Linked DNA regions of Solanum lycopersicum. The main gene of each other region encodes a partner of the protein of the gene in region 3 in a complex. Links are inferred from orthologs where the notes say so. Each region holds a gene or a part of one and is shown on either strand. Other genes may lie near its edges.

Region 1 (3,513 bases), on a different chromosome or scaffold from region 3:
AGGAAAGAAGCAAGACTCACGGAGATCACATGGAAGCAGTATCAAGTACTAATCAAGACCCAGTGAAATTACAGAAGTGGCAAAAGAGATATTTGGAAGATTAGTAAAAATAATACAACAGCAGCCTCTTGGATGAGTTGTCCCTTATTGTTGGAAAGGAAATCAATTTCCCTTATCAAGGATCAAATCCTTAGGGTTGCCCTCTCTGCTAATGAAACAACAGTCCTCATATAATCAATCATTGAAGACCAAAGACTAACATACGTTTGTATAAAGCCTCCTCAAAGTGCATTGTTCTACTCTTAACAAGCATTGTAATTCTTAAATGGTTTACTGTGTAATCAAAACAGAGAAGAGAGGAAAAATATAGTTGGTGAGGCATTGTGTCAAGAGAAAAAAAGATCGAGTGTAGACGTAGGATTAAACCTTGAGGGACTTGTACTCATCAACTATTCAAAGTACTTGCATAGAAAATCCCTTGCAACCCAAGGGGACTGGACTAAAATCCACATTGGATCCCAACCGGTATAAAAATACCCAGTGTCATTTACTTATTGTTTTATAACTTGCGTCATCATTTAATTGCCAGTCATTACAGTTGAAGCTTTATTTTAAGAGGGAACCTCTCAGACAAGGCCTCCCTACTCCAATGGGAAGTACTTCTCACACTAGAAGGTCAGAATGGGAACCTACATCAAGTCATATGGTGTAATGGTCTGGAGGGTGATCAAATTGGGAGACATTCCCATACCTACAACTAAGAGTGATGATAAGGAATCTGGAAGCAAGGAAAAAACAACAGAAATTGAAGGAGCAATTGATCTATCAAAATTGGTGGACAAAAATAATACATGACTGGAAATTATTCAGGTATAATCTTAAGAAAATATTTACTATATAATGCAATCAGTGGTGAAGAATATCAAAAGATCACAAGTGGTGAAACTGCTAAAGAAATATGGGATAAGCTAGAAGTGACCTATGAAGGAAATGGCAAGTCAAGCAGACTATAGTCAGCCTTCTACTTTATGAGTATTATTCCAAATAAATGAAGGAGAGACTAATGAGGAATGTTCTCCCGACTGAGTAAACTCATTGGGGAACTAAAAGCCTATGGAAAAACCTATCCTACTTGTTAAATTAGGCCTTGGACCTAGCCCTCACCCCAAAAGCTAGCTTAAAGGGAGGAGAAGGATTGTCTAAGCATTATAAGGAGTACACAAATCTCATTAACCACCATATAAAACTTTTTTCATCTTTAACACTCACCTCATGCCCAGTGCTTAACATCTGGTGCGTGGGCAACTTTTAATTTTAGAGGCTCAACATAGGGTGAGATGGGTCTTGCTCTGATACCAAGTTAAATTAGATGTTGGGTCCTACCTCACAACCCAAAAGCTAGCTCAAACGGAGGACGATTACTCAAACCTTATCAAGAGTACACCCTTCTCATTAAGCACCAATGTGTAACTTTTGACATTCTTTAACACTACTATTAATCACATAAGGATTAAGGAAGGTACGCAGAAGCCTACCTCCTCAACGACATGCCAAAGATGTTGCTTTGGGAAGCATTAACCTCAAACAATACCCCTTGTGATGAACTAAGAGGAGATTTGATAATTGAATGACTTTGTTGTCCCAAAAGAATAAGTAACTTTCGTAGGTCATTTCCATAAGTTGGGTGAGGAATTAACTCTAATATTTATTATGACTTTGCAGCAGTTCAAACAACTAAATTTATGGATTAAGTACCAACAATAATTCTTGAACAAGCAGTGACATGAAAGGATAAAAAGAGAACATTTACAATCAAATCAGAAAGGGAACTGGACTTCTGATACAAAGAACATTGAGAGTGTTTGTGACCTTATCATCTTAAGCAAATTAAGGATCCAGATTAGATACCCATATGTCGATGTATTGAAGCTTTTCCTTCGCAAAGGCAACTAAGTTCTTCACGTCATCTCCCTCTCTAACATCACACTTGGTGCCCTGCATAGGGATCTGAATCAAGCATGTGAAGACAAAAATAATGCTTAAGCTAATCATGTAAAAGAAAGGCCATAACACCTGCAAGGGCCAGTAAGTATATTTACAGACCCTTGGTTTACTTTAAAGACATAATAATATATAATTCTAAACTACATATTAGGCAGAATATGGCACATCTTCAGCTTACCAAGGACATGACTTTAGATAGGAGGATATGGAGATCATGGATAGACGGTATGTAGGTATAGCTGGGAGTTGTCTTATTACTAGCCCATTCATGTATTTTTCTGGGTGGAAGTGTAGAGCTCCGTGCTGGTCGTAGTATTAGCATATTCATTAAGTCTTCGGTTTTTGGTATCCGAGATCATCTGTGGTTTACTGTGTTTAGGTAACTGCAGCTTGTTATTATTATGGCTCCTTGCATTGATATGCTCCAACTGCTTTGATATTAACTGTCAGTTTTTTTTTATAGTTAGTGTTTTATTTGCTTGAACCAAAGGTCTTACAGAAACAGTCTCTACCATGGAGAGTTAGTGGTAAGGCCTGCGTACACTCTACCCTCCCCAAACCCCACTTCTGGTATTTCACTGAGTTTGTTGTTGTTGTTGGTTTTTACTTTACAACCTTCCTTTCAATAGAACATGATTCAGGAAATCAAAAGTTCAAGTCAATCGGTAGGCATGAAGCCCAAAGTTATGTTAGTCATTAGCGAAATAAAATACTCATCAATCACCATAGAACCTGATTGAAGACGAAACTAGTGATGAGTACACAGAAAGAATCAAAGAATGACTAAAGGTCTATAAGAAATGAAGTGAAAATGGAGGTACCCACACATGCTGCTTCCCTGTTTCAACTCTTAACCTGTCGAGAGCAGATACAACTCTTTCATCTGTCAAAAAAAATGGTCAACTCTAAAGATGTAATTACATTTAATTCTAAACTACATATTCCAAAGAAAGTTGTTTCTTTTCCATTCAAGTGTAGGGAGATGAAGAGCTAACATAAAGAGAGTGTGAGCTTTAAAGCAATAAAATAAAAAAGAGAATGAGAATACATCCCCATGAGTTACAAGATAACGAATGGAAAAGAGAAAATATCACTGTATCAAGGTACCATGCAAAATCATCAGTCTTATGTTATTGCAATTATGGTTAGTTCAGGACCCGGATAAGACTCATCAAGGTAGGAGAGCAGCAATTATTGATATATGACTCCATAGAGATCAAACTAGATCATGAATATGCCATCCCTCCCAATCTTCCATTCAAACTTCAGCAGATCTCCTCCTTTCCTTTGTTTTCTAACTTCAGCAAACTCTGCTCCTTTCAACCCATATTATCTCCAATTAAGTAGCAAGATTCCCATTATCTCTATTCTAATAAACTGCATCCATTGCTTTCACTACTTCCTTAATTTGCATGTATGGCACTTAATGTCTCTAGAGATCACTAACCCAATGCCTGCAACTTTTTTTTTCTTCCCACAAGCTGTAGCTTCTTAGCTTTCGTTCCAAAA
Region 2 (4,033 bases), on a different chromosome or scaffold from region 3:
CATGACTGAGTTGAGAACGCATTCCAAGGAACTGCTACTCGTAGCAAGCACTGAAGTTTTTTAGTGAGTAATCAAATCATTCTTTCTCATAAAAGAACTTACATGCACCCCCTGTCACCCTCCACCCACCAGTCAAACTAAAGACGGAATAATTTTCAAACTTTACCAAGTTCCTTTGGACAATAACCAAAAAAAAAAAAAAATTGTATAGAATTGGGGAAAAAAGTTTGACCTGTCACGAGATTACGTTGTACCTGTAAACTATGCTAAGCTGTATGAAATTATTAAACAGAAGGTAGAAAAAACAAAGAAAAGAGAAAAGAGAAGAGGACAGATGTACACCATAGCGAAGACTTTGATGGAGGTCTATGAATGTTTTCCCATCGCCCTATGAGGAGTCTGATTAGAGTCCGACCATACTGTGTTTCAGTATAACATTATCAACCCCATAAATTTCAGTATGTCGAGATTATGTTAACAACTAGAGAAATCATTCTTATGAAGATCCACTATACGTGTCTTGTACCTTGTGTAATTTATAGCTCTATAATAATGCCTAAAACTTCATTTATTCCATATCTTGTCAACATTCAAAGCAGCATACCTTTTACCCAAGAGAGTGAAACAGAAATATAAAATTCAAACATGCTTGTCAAAAGAACTAGTTGGGGTCGGAGGCGAGGACCAGTGAACCCATCAAGTTCTAGTATGCAACTTTTCCTAATAACAAAGTGTTAAAAACTCTCATGCTCCCAACAGAAGGGATTTTAATGGAAGTGGAGTGACCAAAGAAAGATGAATTCAATTGCACACGAGCTAATAGTGGATTACACGGTCTCAGAGAACATGAACCAGTACTCTCTCTGAGCATCTTTCTAGCTTGCAAACTTTTCTTATGACTTCCACAACACACTGCAATATCACAGCCAAGTCTTGTTTCACTGCATACACTGTACATATTCATAAGATGTAAATCCATATGGATGAGATAGCTTTTCAAAGGACACAAAAGACAAAACAAAATTCACAGGGAAAATCTGCATGTGACAATGAAAGCATGCAATAATCAAACTCCAGTAGGTCATTTATGACAAACTTAAGGAACAAAAACTAGGCATAAACAATAAGAACTGCAACTAAAAGCAACAGTATCTACATGTACTAAAGTAGAGAAAGACTCACTTCAACTCTAGACATGCCATCCCCCAAGAAAGCACATGCATTATTCACATGAGCAATGTAGTAAGTGTCACACAAACCACAGTGGCTGCAAACCAGAAACAAAAACTACCATCAGACAAAAAACTACTATAATGATTACGAAATAGTCACAAAATATACAAGAAATTAATTTAAATAAGTATGAAGATGAGTGATTAAATGATACTAACTTATAATCCTCAAAAACATTGAATTAGTATATAAATAATGTTAATTATTATTTACCAATTTCAAAAAAAATGCTAATTAATATATATGATATTCTTGTGAACGTCAAAACTTATATTTCAGTCTTCCAAACAATACTTCATCATTCAAGCTCCTTTTTTTTCCATTCTACAAAATTTGACCCAACTTAGGACGAATTGATATGGAAAGCTACGATGCTTCAAAGACCCAATGAAATGCTTCCTCCATTTCAAATTGAATACTTCAGGTTCTTTTTTATACTTCATGCCAAATTAATGCCCAATCTCCCTCATATTTATAGTTCTTTCACATTTACTATGAAAATTGAACCATTATAGTTTCCGAAAAGGGAGAACTCTTCAAACACATATTAGTTTAAGACACTCTCTCCGTCCGGTATTGTTTGTCATGGTGTCTATTCATAGAGTCAAACTATAAAAACTTTGACTAACATTTTAAGGTGTATTTTTTCATCGTATTAATATGCAAAAAATTGCAATTTATAGTACTTTTCATATAGTTTTAAAATATCTAATTATTTTGTTTAAAATATCGAATTAATGTGATTTAATTTAACTTTGAAAATTAGTCAAATTGACTTTCAAAAAACACAACATGACAAACAATATTGGACGGAGAGGGAGTGATTCATAAATAGACACCTTAACTTTGCTTAACTAACAACTAAATACTCCAACTTTAAGAATGCACATCTAGACGGTCTCCGAGACACCCGGCACTATATGTCTAGATGATCATTTTGTACGTTGGGAGTGTTTAACTCACACAGCCAAGACCAGTTAAGATGCACACTTTGAGTGTTCAGTTGCCAATTGAGCCCAACCTAAGATATCTATCTATGTATTTATGTCATAGTTTAAAGATAACAAATAAAAATAACAACTTTTTCACTAGTCTAACTTACAAAAACTAAAAACTTCAAAAAAAAAATACATAGAAAAATGATCAAGCTACGCAATTTACCTCCCATTACAGCATTAAAAGCTAAAATTTCAATTATATTAAGAAAAAAAAAAGCAGAATTATGAACCTGCAGTGGTCTTTAGCTGGATAAGTCCCACCAGGAGGAATAGGTCGAGATTTTTTCCTCCAATCTTCTCTAATTTTCACTGATTTCAGGTTTTGGTTTGCATCTGTTGAGTAATTCAAACAACATCAACACACAAAGTTTCAATTTTTTTTAAAAAAAAAACTCATAGCAAAAGTTTGTCATTTTTTGTAAAAAAAAGTTCCTCTAAGAGGATTTTGTTCAGTGAATGTAGAAATGGAGAGAAACAAAACCTTGTTGTTGTGAAGAAGATGAAACAGTGTAAAATTTGAAGGGTAAAGTAGAGATTTTTCCAGTAAGAAACGCCATTGTTGCTCTGTGTATCTGCACAAGTGTTTTGCGCCACAAATATATATCAAATGAGATTCTTTTAAGGGTGGAACCAAAACGGTGTCGTCCGGTATTTAATTAATTTCTACTTTTTATTTTTTTGGATGAGTAAAAAAAGTGAAATATTAAATATTTAGAAAATTAAGAAATAATTTTAATTATTTATAAACAATGAATCGCTGAAAGTGATTCGAACGAATCCTTTTGGTCCTACCTAGCTTTGCTCCTGAATAAGTACTCGATAACATATTGTGTTGAAATTTTGATGAGATAAACAACACATACCATATCATTTCACTGAAGTAAAATCATATAGTCGTTCATATGAATACTCAAAATAGGGTGGCTTTTAATTTTTGTTCGTCGGATCAATAGTCTTTGAAAATACAATCGTAAGGCATATGTTATGTCATACAAAACTTATGCCTCTGTAGACATAAGTTCAATTTCAAAACATTATACCTTAAAAAGTTCATAAAGTCACAAATTATATCTTATAAGGTATAGACGTAAGTCCTACATAACATGTCGATGGGAGTATAAGTTCCATTTTCAAAACTTGGAAGATTAAACCTAGAGAAGTTCATTACTCGCTATATCTTATAAATCATAAGTCCCGTTTACAAAACCAGCAAAATTGAGAAGTTCATGAGTCACTATATCGGAAAAAAAGTGGTGGTTTAATTGGAGCAGCCCATCAGGCATTAATGGAACTTGGAAGGCACCGATAACGATATAAATCATAAGTCCCGTTTACAAAACCAGCAAAATTGAGAAGTTCATGAGTCACTATATCGGAAAAAAAGTGGTGGTTTAATTGGAGCAGCCCATCAGGCATTAATGGAACTTGGAAGGCACCGGTCCGTTATCCTTCCACTGCACAAAGCGGAAGTTTTTCGTTGCTCTGTGAAACCAGCCTCACGCGGTCCACCCCACTTTAGGAATCTAGTAGCCCATTCTTTCAATTGGACCACATGATCCAACTCTGTGCTTGGATAGGGCAGGCCAGAAATTAGCCCACCAAGCCCAGCCATCTGGGACAGCCCAATATTCCACCACCTTAACATCCCCACTTGGGTTACAAGCCCACGTTACTAAGCTCGACATACAATATTGCATCATAGATTATTATAAAAATAAAAAGAAATATGTCCACTAACGATGTGGGAATTGGAATATTGCTTGTTCTCTATAAACAAAGCATATACTATTTTGAAAATATAA
Region 3 (3,996 bases):
AACAAAAATATAACAAAGTTCAATGTGTGGTAAAATAATATTGCCAAACAAGTATATACTCAAAAAATATAAATCAAACAAATGAGTAACATAGTTCATTGTGTGGTTTGATGATTTTTATCACATATACATAAAAGTTGCTAGATGCAATTTTTATTTTGAAAAAAAAAAAACACAAAAATGTAGTGACTAGAATTAAACTTGGGACACAGTTGCTAGCGAAGGAGTGGTGTGAGACAAGAATTTAACCACCATGCTAGATTAGCTTTTGTGTATAAGGATGCACAAATTAATATATTATCGTCATTTAGATATTATACATGTGTACCTTTATAGGAATTGAATGAAAAAATCATCGATCATTATAAAATAAAACTCATAAAACATGTTTTTTTATTTTTCAAAAGACATTTTTTAAAATACTCACCTAATAGAGTCGTGAACACCCTGGAATGAGTAATAACCATATAAATAACATGTAACGCCAAAAAGTTTGAAAAAATTGACCAGAGGTGGCCCTATTGAGTACACCTCAATTTTTTAGTACAAATTACTATAGTAATGTGCGAATGATTTTTTATGATAATTTTTTTAAAATACTTTTTTATACATAAAAAATATCTTTATAATAATGATAAGTTAAAGTAGGCATTTGGCCATATGATATCATAGTATTGTGAGATGAAATCAGCATTTAGACATGCGATTTTACATTAATTCTATTTCATGATTTCATATTCTCTAGAAATCATAATATGGAATCATATGGGAATATCATATCATAATTTGAGATATTTAATACAAAAATTAATCCACACGTTTATATTTTGTTAAAACAATGCTACATTTATATCTACTAACTATTTATTTTACATGTAAATAAAATTATAGTTACATCATTACATTTTAAAATTTATTGTTCACACCAACATATAGTCACTTTAGGTCACACTTCACGATCATTGAGTAATAAAATCTTGAAGAACCCGTGAAAAGTGCTTCATTTTTAGATTGAAACATTACTTAAGTGGAGAACAAATAATTTTATAATAATTTATTATGCAATTTTATAATTTTTTATTTAATTTGATAAGATTGAATAAACAATTGAAGCAATTTTAATAGTTTTAGAAAACTTATGAGATTTTTACGATTACGTAAGAATATACAATATCAAAATTTCATCTCGAATATCTAAACAAAACTTTAATTGCATCTCATAATTTCATATCATGATACTATATCGCATGACCAGACCGCCCAAATCTACCATTTTGTTAAATATCGTCATTTGTTTTATTTTTTCTTGGTTTCTAAATAGATCCCACTTTTTTAAGCAATCTCTTGTCTGGACTCTAGATTTATGTAGAAATATATAACTAACTGAATGTTAAAAAGAATAAGAAAAAGCAATTCTAAAATCCCATATCACTTCTCCTAAGCTCTTGGAGATTTTGCTCATAATTATCTTAGAAAACTGATTAAAGGTTAGTTGGCTTTCAATTTTTTCTTTCTAGTTTGTTATGGAATTGTGAAATAATGGTCTTTTAGGTTATTGATTTTTAGCTTTTATTGGATGTTTAAGTTGTAGAATTTTCAAGTAAGGTTCAATATTTGCTCAATTTTTTCGTTTTCCAGATAAGGTTGATCTATTGACAGATTCAGGATTTGAAGTTTGTAGTTTGGGATTTAGATCTTTTGAGTTACTGAATTCTAAATTAATAACTGTACATATTAAATGGATTTTTGTAATGAAAAAAAAAAAATTGAGTTTGAACCAGAGTTATTGGGTTCAATAAATGTGTTCACATCATGAAAAAAAATGAAGGTTGAATTTTTTTGTTGTTGTAGAAGAATATGATGTTAGTTGATTTATCTTATTAGCCAAGTAATAATAATTAGATGTGAAGAAGTAAATTACTATATTGTTGTTGAGTTGATTGCATTACTTTCCTGTATTTTATTAGTATTTGATAACAACCTAAATGCTTTGTTTTCAATGTATTCTTGATTTCAGGTATTCATTTTAGATTTTAGAAAGCTGACTCTGGGATGGAATTTTGTTCTTTCTATTCGACACCCTATTACTGCGTTGTAAATGTTAAACCGAATGTGATTCAAAAATGCCTAATTTCAAATCAGACAATGTTTTCTAGACTAAAAGAAAGAAGATTGTGTTCTGGTTTAGATGTTTATAGCGTAGAGAAAAATAGGAAGCGGAGATCTTGCACTGTCGCTTCTGTTAAGGGGGTTGACAGTGTTGTTGACTCAAGTCTCTTGAATGAAAGCTATAACACAGATGTCGTGGATGGGAAAGTCGGTACAGAAGGTGTGACTAGTAGAGGTAAATCAGTACCAAAGGTTATGATTCCTAGTTTACCAAGTGAAGCTAAAGGCGATGCTGTTGCTGTGATTGATAGCTGTTTGTGGGAATGGAAGCCAAAACTGAATGTTCATTATGAGAAATCTGGATGTCAAAATGTTAACTCCGCGCCAATACTTTTTCTTCCTGGTTTTGGTGTTGGTTCCTTTCACTATGAAAAACAGCTAAAGGATCTTGGTCGTGATAACAGAATATGGGCATTGGATTTTATTGGACAGGGAAAGTCATTACCTAGTGAGGATCCAACTTCGCGGTCAAAAAGATTAAATGAATCGGAAGGTGATGGAAACAATGTTCTCTGGGGTTTGGGGGATGAAGTAGAACCTTGGGCAAAAGAACTTGTCTATTCTATTGACTTATGGAGGGAGCAAGTACGCTATTTCATCGAAGAGGTACAATTTCTATCTTTGTCCTTGTGTTTTTTCCCTCAAAATTGGTTGATCTGTAGATTAAGCATTGTCATTGATGTATTGCTAGTTTTTTAAATTCATGTTCGTTCAATACACTGGCTCGTAATGAATGCTAGAAGATGAAACTAAAAATATTCATACAAGGCTTATGAGTACATTACAGTTGCAGTCCTGACAATTTGCTATAGTATGCCAGAATAATGTTCCTTTGGCACTACTTGTTTATTTTTGTTCGATTTAGGCTATGGAACGATGGGCTTCTCAATAAGTTTCCAAATTGTTGATTGGTTACTAGGAACAAACTATAAACTTGTATCCTTTGGTGATGCAGGTTATTAAGGAACCAGTCTACATTGTGGGAAATTCACTTGGTGGATATGTTGCCCTCTACTTTGCTGCATACTACCCTCAATTAGTGAAAGGTGTAACCTTGCTGAATGCTACGCCTTTTTGGGGATTTCTTCCTAATCCTGTTAGATCTCCGAGATTATCTAGATTATTTCCATGGGCTGGTACTTTTCCTCTGCCCTCCAATATCAGAAAGCTCACAGAACTTGTGTAAGTGCCCTGACTTTCTGTTTTGATTATTTAGTTTCCTGATCCTATAAACTTATATACCGAGTAATAGGATCTTCTTGCCAGCTATACATTTTATATTGGTTAGCATCAAGACGATGACCAAATGATGTGTTGTTACATTTTGCAACTTATGCTGAAAAAATGAATCGTTCTTGGATAATTTGATGTTCTTTCATCATATAATAGAGGGACATTATGGATTGTATCCTTGTTTTTGGGTTTTGTCTGGTTCTCAAACTTATCCGTCTGTACGCTTCATTATGCTTCTGTAGATGGCAGAAAATTAGTGCTCCCGAGAGTATCGCAGAGGTGCTTAAACAAGTTTACGCTGATCATACCACAAAAGTAGATAAAGTTTTCTCTAGTATTCTTGAGGTAACAGAACACCCTGCAGCAGCTGCATCCCTTGCTTCAATAATGTTCGCTCCTCAGGGACAACTAAATTTTAAAGAGGCACTGACTGGGTAGGTAAAGCAAGTAGTATTACATAGCCGTGTCATTTGGCTTGCATATGTTTTCTTATACAGTAACAAAGCTGAAATCTTTCACCTTGCTATATCTAGGTGTCGAATGAACAATGTACCGGTCTGTCTCATTTACGGGAAAGAAGACCCCTGGGTGACG
Region 4 (4,070 bases), on a different chromosome or scaffold from region 3:
GTATAATTATCCACATTCGTATAATTCACAACTAACAATTCTTTGTTTGATTTATATTTCTATACGATGATTTGTATTTGCATATGAGATAATTTCCTTTGGTTTCTCAGTTTTGTCACTTTATATATTCAATCTTTTTGTGTATAGCTTTCAAAAGTTTGTATAAACGTGCACTTTTTTTTTATAATATAATTTATTTAATGTAACTATTTAAAGTCAATAAATGTATATTTATATCAATTCGTTATTTTGAGGTGTTTTTTTTCATATTTGTATAATTTTAAACTTAATATTGCTCAATCATGCAAAAACACGGAATTATACAAAGGTACCCACGAATTATACAAACGAGATGCGAATATACAAATTATTGCCCTCTCTCACTTGCCTCTCTCCTCCCTCTCCCGATCTCGCTTGATTCTCTCCTCTCTCTCCCAATCTTGCTCGTCTCTCTCCTCCCTCTCACAACCTAGCTCGCTTCTCTCCTCCTTCTCCCAATCTTACTTGTCATATATACAAAACCTATATGAATAATATTCAATTATCTAACCAATATACATACACAATTTACCTCTATCCCATTTCTACCCTCTCTCCTCCATCTCTCAATCTCGCTCATCTCTCTCCCTCCTCTCTCAATCTCGCTTGCCATATATAGAAATACATATGTATAATACACAATTATCTACCTGATATACATGTGTAATTCACCTCTCACTCTCTCGCTCGTATCTCTTATCCCTCTCTCAATCTCTCTCGTCACTCTCTTTCTCTATAACATATAGCTACGAATTGTAATTAACAAATTATAACTATGAAGCATAATTAGGCTATTTTTGAGTGAATATATGCAAAGTTCCTTTTTATATTATGGACCAATTCAAGTTTTTTAAAACTATAGTTATAAATTTGATAAAATATAATAATTTTCATAGATATAATTGATAAATTAAGAAATGCATTAATTTAAAGTCAAAATAAATTCATATTGCGAGAACAATCATTATATGAGATACAAACCGTTTAAAAAATCATGATAGAAATTATAAATTTTATTTACATATGAAATAAATGACTGGTATATATATATATATATATTGTATTTTTAAAAATCAGAATTTTGAATTAGGATTTAAAATACAAAAATTTGATTAAAATAACCATGTTTAAGATATGTTTAATCAAATTTTTGTATTTTAAATCCTAATTCAAAATTCTGATTTTTAAAAATACAAACGACAGCGTATTACATGGGCCACAGCACGTGATGTTCGTTTGCTTCCCAAAAAGCAAAGAGATAGCAGTGAACATGACAGTCCTCCTGCTATGGCTGTTCCACTCTCCTCTGCCAAATTTCACACTTCAATTCTCACACAATCACTCCCCTCTTCTTCCTCTCGTTCTTTTTCCGTCGGAAAACGCTTCTGTTGCTCGTCGTCATCAACTTCCATGGAACATCATGAATCGAAATTTAAGGAATTTCCTTATGCATCTGTTCCGCATAGAGAGTTAATGGTGGAACTTGTATCGACTGTGGAGAATCGTCTTGGAGAGTCTCTACTTCCTTGTACTCTGCCTTCTCATGTGCAGTATTTTGAGAATGAATCTGCTACTGCTCATGCTTCTCTCTATGTCAGATCTGGAAATTCCTCTTCTCAGGTACTCTCCGACTACCTCCTCAATTGATTCTACTATTTATTACCTATTCATTCGTTTTTGCAGTTGTGTCAATTATATGTAGTATGATATAGAATTACTTCCTGTTGGATGTTTTGTTGAATTAGTATATACAGGGTGAATAACAAATCTATGGACAAAGAAATTGATTTTCATAATAATAAAGTGTGATACCAATAGTTTAGAACCCTTATTTTCAAGGAAAAGTTTGTCTTGGGACTTAATGACGACACTGAAGTGCACATTAAGCGAAGTGGTCAACATGTGTAAGCCTTGCTTCAAGGCTTGAGCATGCATAAAGTATGCAACCAAAAAAAAAACGCCAAGAATTTTCTCCTAATGCCCTTCAATATGAATGAATACACTACTATCTTGTACATAGTGAAGTTGATAAAGAAAACAAGAAAATTATTATGTACTATAGAATAATGATTGAGAAAGCTAGATCTTGTCATCTTATTTTAGTGGATTTGGCTTATGCAGAAGAGTTAATCCATTACGCATTGTGCTTTTTGTAGATTGTCCTTTTTACTATGTATGCTAATTCTTTTAATAGAAGTAACATGAATTGAAATGCCAAATACTTATCTGTATAATGTGGTGATGGGAGTTAAGAAGATCAGCAAATGTATTTTTGGTTTTATTCACCCAATGAAGTCAGACAAGATTTTTATCAAATCTGTTTCCTTTGAGCTAATTTCAAATTGAGTATTTCTTGTTCAAGCTATATATCTTGCACTTTCTAGTAAATAACAATCCATTCGTTACAATTAAAAAATATATAACAAACAAAATTCGTGAATGTGCTGCAAACTCCCACTAATATTTTAATAGTTTGCAGTTTGTTCTGTGAAATACATCTCAACTAGTTTTTCTGTGATCTTGTCAAAGTAGTTTGATCTCTGCTTGTTCCCCATTCCCTAGCTTCAGGAGCTGTAGGGGGAAAATTCATATGATCTGCAATCTCACCTTCTCACCATTACCATTCCCAACTTCAATATCTGGCGGCACTGAGTTTCCCATCTGAATAGGTGCTGAGGTAAGTTGTGAACTAGTATCCAATCTGGAACAATAGAAGTTTCTTGCTCTGGTTTAAAATTCTGTGCACATCTCAGGATTTCATAGTGTATGACCGACCCAATGTGAATGAATGACTTGAAAAAATGTTATTGAAGTCTGTTTTGTTACAGAAAGTCAATGTAAATAGTGTTGTAGTTGTAGTACCCAATCTCGACTCTTCCTTTCAATTGAAATTGACTCACAAAAATTTTCCTTAGTTCTTTCATAGTAGGTTCCTTTGATAAATTTACCCACAATAGTCATTTGCAATTATTAGCCAAATTCACGAAATAGTCATCAGCAGAGAAATATATGGTTGGCTTTCCGAGATGAGTCTCATGCCTAATTTCAACAGGAGCTTCGGCGATTGAGGCATTGGCAAATCAGCTTGAACCTTTCTGTGAAGGTTGGTTTCGATGAAGTAGCACCCTTTTACCTTTCCCTGCTAAATTGGGATGTTTCTGTTGGAGTTGAATATTGGGGTTCTGATTTATCAGTGGCAACAGGGTTATGATCAGTTCCATTGATGTTGGTCGCGTCATCCGATTTCAATTTTGAAGAGGGTGTGTGAAATCTGAGGACACCTTTGGCTGAGGGGTTAAATGATTTTGGTGGGTGGATTTTGAATGGGTAGTATTTTCCTGTTGAGGTGTTGCATGCGTGATCTGCAAAAGAGTAGGCTGAGTGTTAATAGCAAGTTGGAGGTTCTGGTGAACTGTTAGGGGCAAGCTTTAGGAGTTTATTATTGTCCATGTGTTGTTCCTCTGAAGGATTGGAAGAAATAGGGGATGATGTTTATTGGTGTTGTGGTTGTTGGTGCTAGAAGGAGTTGATTATTGTGTGTTTGGGATTTTTCGGCTGGATTGGTTCAAACTAACCATTGGGGGTTGTAGGAGAGCGGGTGCGTTTTACTGAGTTGTCGGTGTAGGAGAGACTGCAGTTGGTTGAGATGAGTATGGATTGAATGTATAACTAGTGTTTTAGGTGGGTTCCGATGCACAATTGGTGTTTGCTGAAAAGATCAATAGATCTTCATAGAGAGAAGCTAAGAGAGTGTGCATCCAAAATTGACCAACCAATGTAACTGCTCGATTTCAAGAATTATCCTTGTTCATAATTTGTAGTTCTCTGCAAGTTGCATTCACCTGATGTCTTCTTGGGGAGTTATACATAAGGACTGCAAAAGCATCAGGGAGATAGCAATTTGGATCTGGCTTCTGTTCATTTATTCTTATCCAGTTCCATTCCTCCGCTTATAGTTAGTCATTCCATTGAGAGTTCTTTGACAAGTCCATTTAGTGTTCTTTTTCTAATGCCTATAATAAAAGATGAAC
Region 5 (4,278 bases), on a different chromosome or scaffold from region 3:
TCATTTTTAATCTTTAATTAGGAAAACGTCCTTCAACAAGTCTAAAAAGTCTTAACATACCTTAGATGCCGAGCTTGTGCCACGAATCTTTTAAGATTTTTCCTTTCCTTTTCGCAAGGTTTCGGAACGTTCCCAATCTACCAATTTTTCAATATTCGTAAGTAAGCAATTTTTTTGTAGACATTCAAATTATTATATGTCTATCATAGACGCTAAAACTCACACATATTTTCAACAAACTCCAAATCTTGATATATATTGGTATGCCAATTTTTTTTCACACTTGCTAAATTTCAAGCCAAGAACTTAACTCTAACCTCTTCAAATGGACTAAAACTCAATGTTAGATCATATAAAATAACACCTAATAATTAATTACCAGTCCCAATATATTAAAAACTAGCATTTTAATATATGAATACACGTGAACAAAATTTCCACCCATTGGCAGAAGTGGAACGCCCCTCCCCTTTTCCCGTTTTTTTGTGCTATTTGTTCTGCATGCCAATTAAAGCATTCCCCCATTGTTGGTACCTTTAAATTCTGAGGTGTGAGTATACCCACCCGACCTGAGCATAACTCCAAGAAGACAACCTCTGGTTTCAAGAAATTGATCACTGCCTTAACTTCTTGGCAGGATTCCGAAGAAACGTGAGCAGTGCTAACAACATACACATCGCGAATGCCTCCATTGGCAGAAGATTGGTTTTTTTTTCCACATCTCCACCAATTCTCCCATTATCAATATAGCATAGAATAATAATACAATCCCAAACACTCCGACAATATATTACTATATATAGAATTGAAAAGAACGAATATCTCATATCTTTACCTGAACAATGGCTGTGATTTTCTCCCTCTCGCTGGTAGCCTGTGATAAGGTTTCGCCTCCTTACTTTTCGTTTTTTCTTTTCTTCTAAATAAGAAATTATTAATCGTGAAACTCCACTAATCTATTATCTAATTATTTATTTAATAAAAGTTTCATCAATTAGGTACTCATAGTTATCTAAAAGCTTAAAAATAACCCTTTAAATTTTCAAAAGGAGCCAAACTAGTCCTACTTCTCAAAACGACCTAGCGGGTAGTTACAATAACAATATAGGAATACAATAAAATTTCTAATTATAAACAATAAAATAAATTAATAGGGTAAATATGTAATTTGTCACTTTAATACATGTATAAATAATACCCGCATAACTTATTTTACTTTCTACCTTACATAACTTTATACATAGATTCCCTCATAAGTTATGTTGATATAAATTATATAAAACTACAAAAATGCAACCAAACATGATATAAGTTATGTTGACTTTTCTACCTAAACAAGAATTTCTACTAAATATTGCATAACTTAATACATTATTTTATACATGAACAAGAGACAAGTTATACCATAACCAAACAGTGTTGAAAAATCACTCAAAATGTGATAATGTTAAATGCCCAAACAAGTAGGTACATAGCTACCACAATGGATCATATTATCTTAGAAATATACATACAGAATTCATGAATAAACTCAAATAGACAATTCACTTGCGTATTTGATTTTTGTTAAACACATTAGAATTGAAGTTTTGATTATTTTTGAAACACAAGTGGGAGAAGGAGATAATGTTGACGGTAATATATATGCGGACCTACAATGACACGTAGCAGATGAAACGTGTAGATAAAGAGTAGCTTTAACGTGTGGTCATCAACTTGGTTTCCCTTTGATCTTTCAAAAATCAAATTCCTTCCAACTCCTTAGATATTTTCTTTTTGTAGTAGACTAGATCCGAGAAAATTTCAAGTCACACAATCCAAATCCCTAAAAATTTGGATATTTATATCTCTTTCCTTGCATATATATAAAATTCATATAGATCTTTGTAAAACAAAACAAAAAGTGCACCATTTTTCTTTTTTATTTTTATTAAAATAATAAATGGACATGGTGGCGAAGGTACACGTGTCAACGCACCACCTACTACCGAGCAGTAATGTTTTCCGGCCTTCGATTGTGAAGGTTCATGGACGACGTAGAGTTTTTGTACAACCTTGCAGGAGCTTTAAGTCTGATGATGCTGAGTATGTGAAGGTGAACAAGTTGGTTGGAGCTATTAGGTCTGCTGTATGGAGTTGTTCAAAGCCAAGTTTGAGAACTGAAAATAAGCTTAGAGAAGCTATGGAGATGTTGGAAGAGAGATTATTCTGGGTACATATGTTTCTTACACATCTTTAACATCAATTGAGAATGGGAAAAAGTTAAATTTGTATTCCAATCTTGCAGTTGGCTTTATATGTTGGAAGATATATTATAACAATGATGAGCACAGGTGTTGTCATGTTCGTTGGGTTTCAGTTGTCAGGTTAGCAAATTCATTTATCATCTTTTGAAAGTTTTTAAGGCATGGATTGATTGGTAACAACTAATTCTAATTGTTACAGGTGGAGATAGCCAGATGAATGAATTGATATGGTACAGCTGGCTTGGAGGAATTATTATCGGCACTATGATAGGATCCAATTTAGTTTTGGATGATGTTGCTCGAGCTGGCCCCCGTAATGTCCTTATAACTGGAAGGTATAATACTTTACTCATACCTTCATTGTTTGTAATTACCATTTTAATTATTTTTTGGTGCAGTACAAGGGGACTAGGGAAAGCTCTTGCCCGCGAATTCTTACTTTCTGGAGATCGGGTCATTGTTACCTCCCGCAGGTAATTAATTGATTATTTGCATCCACTTATTTTGTTTAGCATCTCTTGTAAATACATCATTCCTTAACACAGCCCGGCATCTGTCCGTTTGACTATCGAGGAGCTTGAGGAAAATCTGAAGGAAGCTGTCAATGCTGCCACCGGCTCTGCTAGACTAAAGTTGGCACATGCAAAACTGGTTGGTATGGCTTGTGACGTCTCTGAACCTGTTGATGTTAAAGAACTGGGCAAGTTTGCTGCAGATGAACTTGGTTATATTGACATTTGGGTGAGTAATTTTCTTTTTCTTCATAGCAAAAGACCACCACAACAACAATATACCCCGTCAAATCCTACAAAGTGGGGTTTGGGAGGGTAGAGTGAGTGTACACAGACTTGGACTTTACCACTACCTCGAGGAGGTAGAGAGACTGTCTCGAGAAGACCCTAGACTCAAGAGCATTAAACCCAAGTAAAAGGAGAGAAAATATTGGAAGTGTCAAGAGAAAAACAATAACAGTAGGATAATCAAAATACAATACACAACATATGACAAGAACTACAGGGTTGTGAGTAGAAAATACAGTCATCCACATCCAGAGGACTTGTGAGGAAAAACAGCCTCTTTCCTGGTTTGTTGTTCTGTTTTCATGCTTCTAAAGGTTGTCTTTTATATAGGTAAACAATGCTGGGACAAACAAAGGCTTTCGACCCTTGCTGGAGTTCACCGACAATGATATTCAAGAGGTATCCATGTTGTTGACAGTTCTCATATGTTTATGTTGATACTCTACAACTTCTTCCATTTCTAAACTCTTGCAAAATAATTGCTTTCAAGGCTGCATATATAATAGAAGATGGATCGGGGGTGGGTCGGTATTAGGGTGGGGTATATTAAATTGTCAAGTAAGAGCTGCTTTTGTTGTTTTCCCCCCTCTCTTGTGGAAGGGTGGGTGGTGTATGCACTGTGGGTTTTCTAACTGTTCAGTTGCAGAACTTTGTTAACAAATTATTTTCCCCGTCCCCCCAACACCTATATGTAGTTTGTATACTTTATATACCAGGTCACTCATTTTAACTTTCCGTTTTCCTGGAATTATCCATCAATATGTACTAATGCCTTCTTTTAACTACTACTTGAAAATTTCCCCGTTTCGTCATGCATAGCAAGGTGTTCATGCTTGTTGACCTTTTCAAGTTAACACTCCATGTGCATATAATAATCAACTATCTGCTGTGTGTACTTGCATGATGGGTAAGCTAATATTCTAGTAAGTATTTCTGGTCTGTTGCTTACCAAATTTTTTTATACAGATTGTCTCAACAAACCTGATTGGTTCTATACTATGCACTAAAGAAGCCATCCAAATCATGAAAACCCAAAGCGAAGGTGGACATGTCTTTAATATGGATGGTGCAGGTTCTGGAGGATCTAGCACCCCTCTAACAGCTGTGTAAGTTGATTGTTGTGGTTGTAACTTGGAATGCTAGGTTATCTATTGTAAATAGCAGATCTTTACCATTTATTCATCTAATACTTTTCTAATGGATATTGATTTCGGTGTTATCATCTTTACTGT

What was found.
Region 1: pheophytinase, chloroplastic (region 3) and chlorophyll(ide) b reductase NOL, chloroplastic share a complex: the UniProt entries of both Arabidopsis thaliana proteins name them as parts of the SGR1-CCE-LHCII complex. The link is inferred for Solanum lycopersicum from reciprocal best matches to the Arabidopsis thaliana genes PPH and NOL.
Region 2: pheophytinase, chloroplastic (region 3) and coenzyme F420 hydrogenase_dehydrogenase beta subunit-like share a complex: the UniProt entries of both Arabidopsis thaliana proteins name them as parts of the SGR1-CCE-LHCII complex. The link is inferred for Solanum lycopersicum from reciprocal best matches to the Arabidopsis thaliana genes PPH and HCAR.
Region 4: pheophytinase, chloroplastic (region 3) and red chlorophyll catabolite reductase, chloroplastic share a complex: the UniProt entries of both Arabidopsis thaliana proteins name them as parts of the SGR1-CCE-LHCII complex. The link is inferred for Solanum lycopersicum from reciprocal best matches to the Arabidopsis thaliana genes PPH and ACD2.
Region 5: pheophytinase, chloroplastic (region 3) and probable chlorophyll(ide) b reductase NYC1, chloroplastic share a complex: the UniProt entries of both Arabidopsis thaliana proteins name them as parts of the SGR1-CCE-LHCII complex. The link is inferred for Solanum lycopersicum from reciprocal best matches to the Arabidopsis thaliana genes PPH and NYC1.

The regions. Positions count from the first base shown.
Region 1 is NC_090804.1:48,920,183-48,923,695, reverse strand, and holds part of chlorophyll(ide) b reductase NOL, chloroplastic, read right to left. Parts: intron 2,888-3,513; coding exon 2,826-2,887; intron 2,008-2,825; coding exon 1,909-2,007; intron 1-1,908. UniProt on the Arabidopsis thaliana protein: Required for chlorophyll b degradation. Chlorophyll b, chlorophyllide b, pheophorbide b and pheophytin b can be used as substrates. Belongs to the chlorophyll catabolic enzymes (CCEs).
Region 2 is NC_090808.1:67,936,179-67,940,211, forward strand, and holds the start of coenzyme F420 hydrogenase_dehydrogenase beta subunit-like, read right to left. Parts: upstream 2,812-4,033; 5' UTR 2,789-2,811; coding exon 2,713-2,788; intron 2,565-2,712; coding exon 2,462-2,564; intron 1,268-2,461; coding exon 1,183-1,267; intron 951-1,182; exon of another isoform or gene 832-950; intron 1-831. UniProt on the Arabidopsis thaliana protein: Probable iron-sulfur flavoprotein that converts 7-hydroxymethyl chlorophyll a to chlorophyll a using ferredoxin as a reducing equivalent. Catalyzes the reduction of a hydroxymethyl group to a methyl group. Belongs to the chlorophyll catabolic enzymes (CCEs).
Region 3 is NC_090800.1:78,700,343-78,704,338, reverse strand, and holds the start of pheophytinase, chloroplastic, read left to right. Parts: upstream 1-1,190; 5' UTR 1,191-1,487; intron 1,488-2,017; 5' UTR 2,018-2,052; coding exon 2,053-2,775; intron 2,776-3,124; coding exon 3,125-3,351; intron 3,352-3,644; coding exon 3,645-3,836; intron 3,837-3,935; coding exon 3,936-3,996. UniProt on the Arabidopsis thaliana protein: Alpha/beta hydrolase dephytylating specifically the Mg-free chlorophyll pigment (pheophytin), yielding pheophorbide. No activity on chlorophyll. Belongs to the chlorophyll catabolic enzymes (CCEs).
Region 4 is NC_090802.1:10,423,464-10,427,533, forward strand, and holds the start of red chlorophyll catabolite reductase, chloroplastic, read left to right. Parts: upstream 1-1,259; 5' UTR 1,260-1,326; coding exon 1,327-1,659; intron 1,660-4,070. UniProt on the Arabidopsis thaliana protein: Catalyzes the key reaction of chlorophyll catabolism, porphyrin macrocycle cleavage of pheophorbide a (pheide a) to a primary fluorescent catabolite (pFCC).
Region 5 is NC_090806.1:26,308,408-26,312,685, forward strand, and holds the start of probable chlorophyll(ide) b reductase NYC1, chloroplastic, read left to right. Parts: upstream 1-1,477; 5' UTR 1,478-1,942; coding exon 1,943-2,212; intron 2,213-2,287; coding exon 2,288-2,366; intron 2,367-2,445; coding exon 2,446-2,581; intron 2,582-2,644; coding exon 2,645-2,719; intron 2,720-2,791; coding exon 2,792-2,987; intron 2,988-3,376; coding exon 3,377-3,445; intron 3,446-4,012; coding exon 4,013-4,152; intron 4,153-4,278. UniProt on the Arabidopsis thaliana protein: Involved in chlorophyll b degradation. Belongs to the chlorophyll catabolic enzymes (CCEs).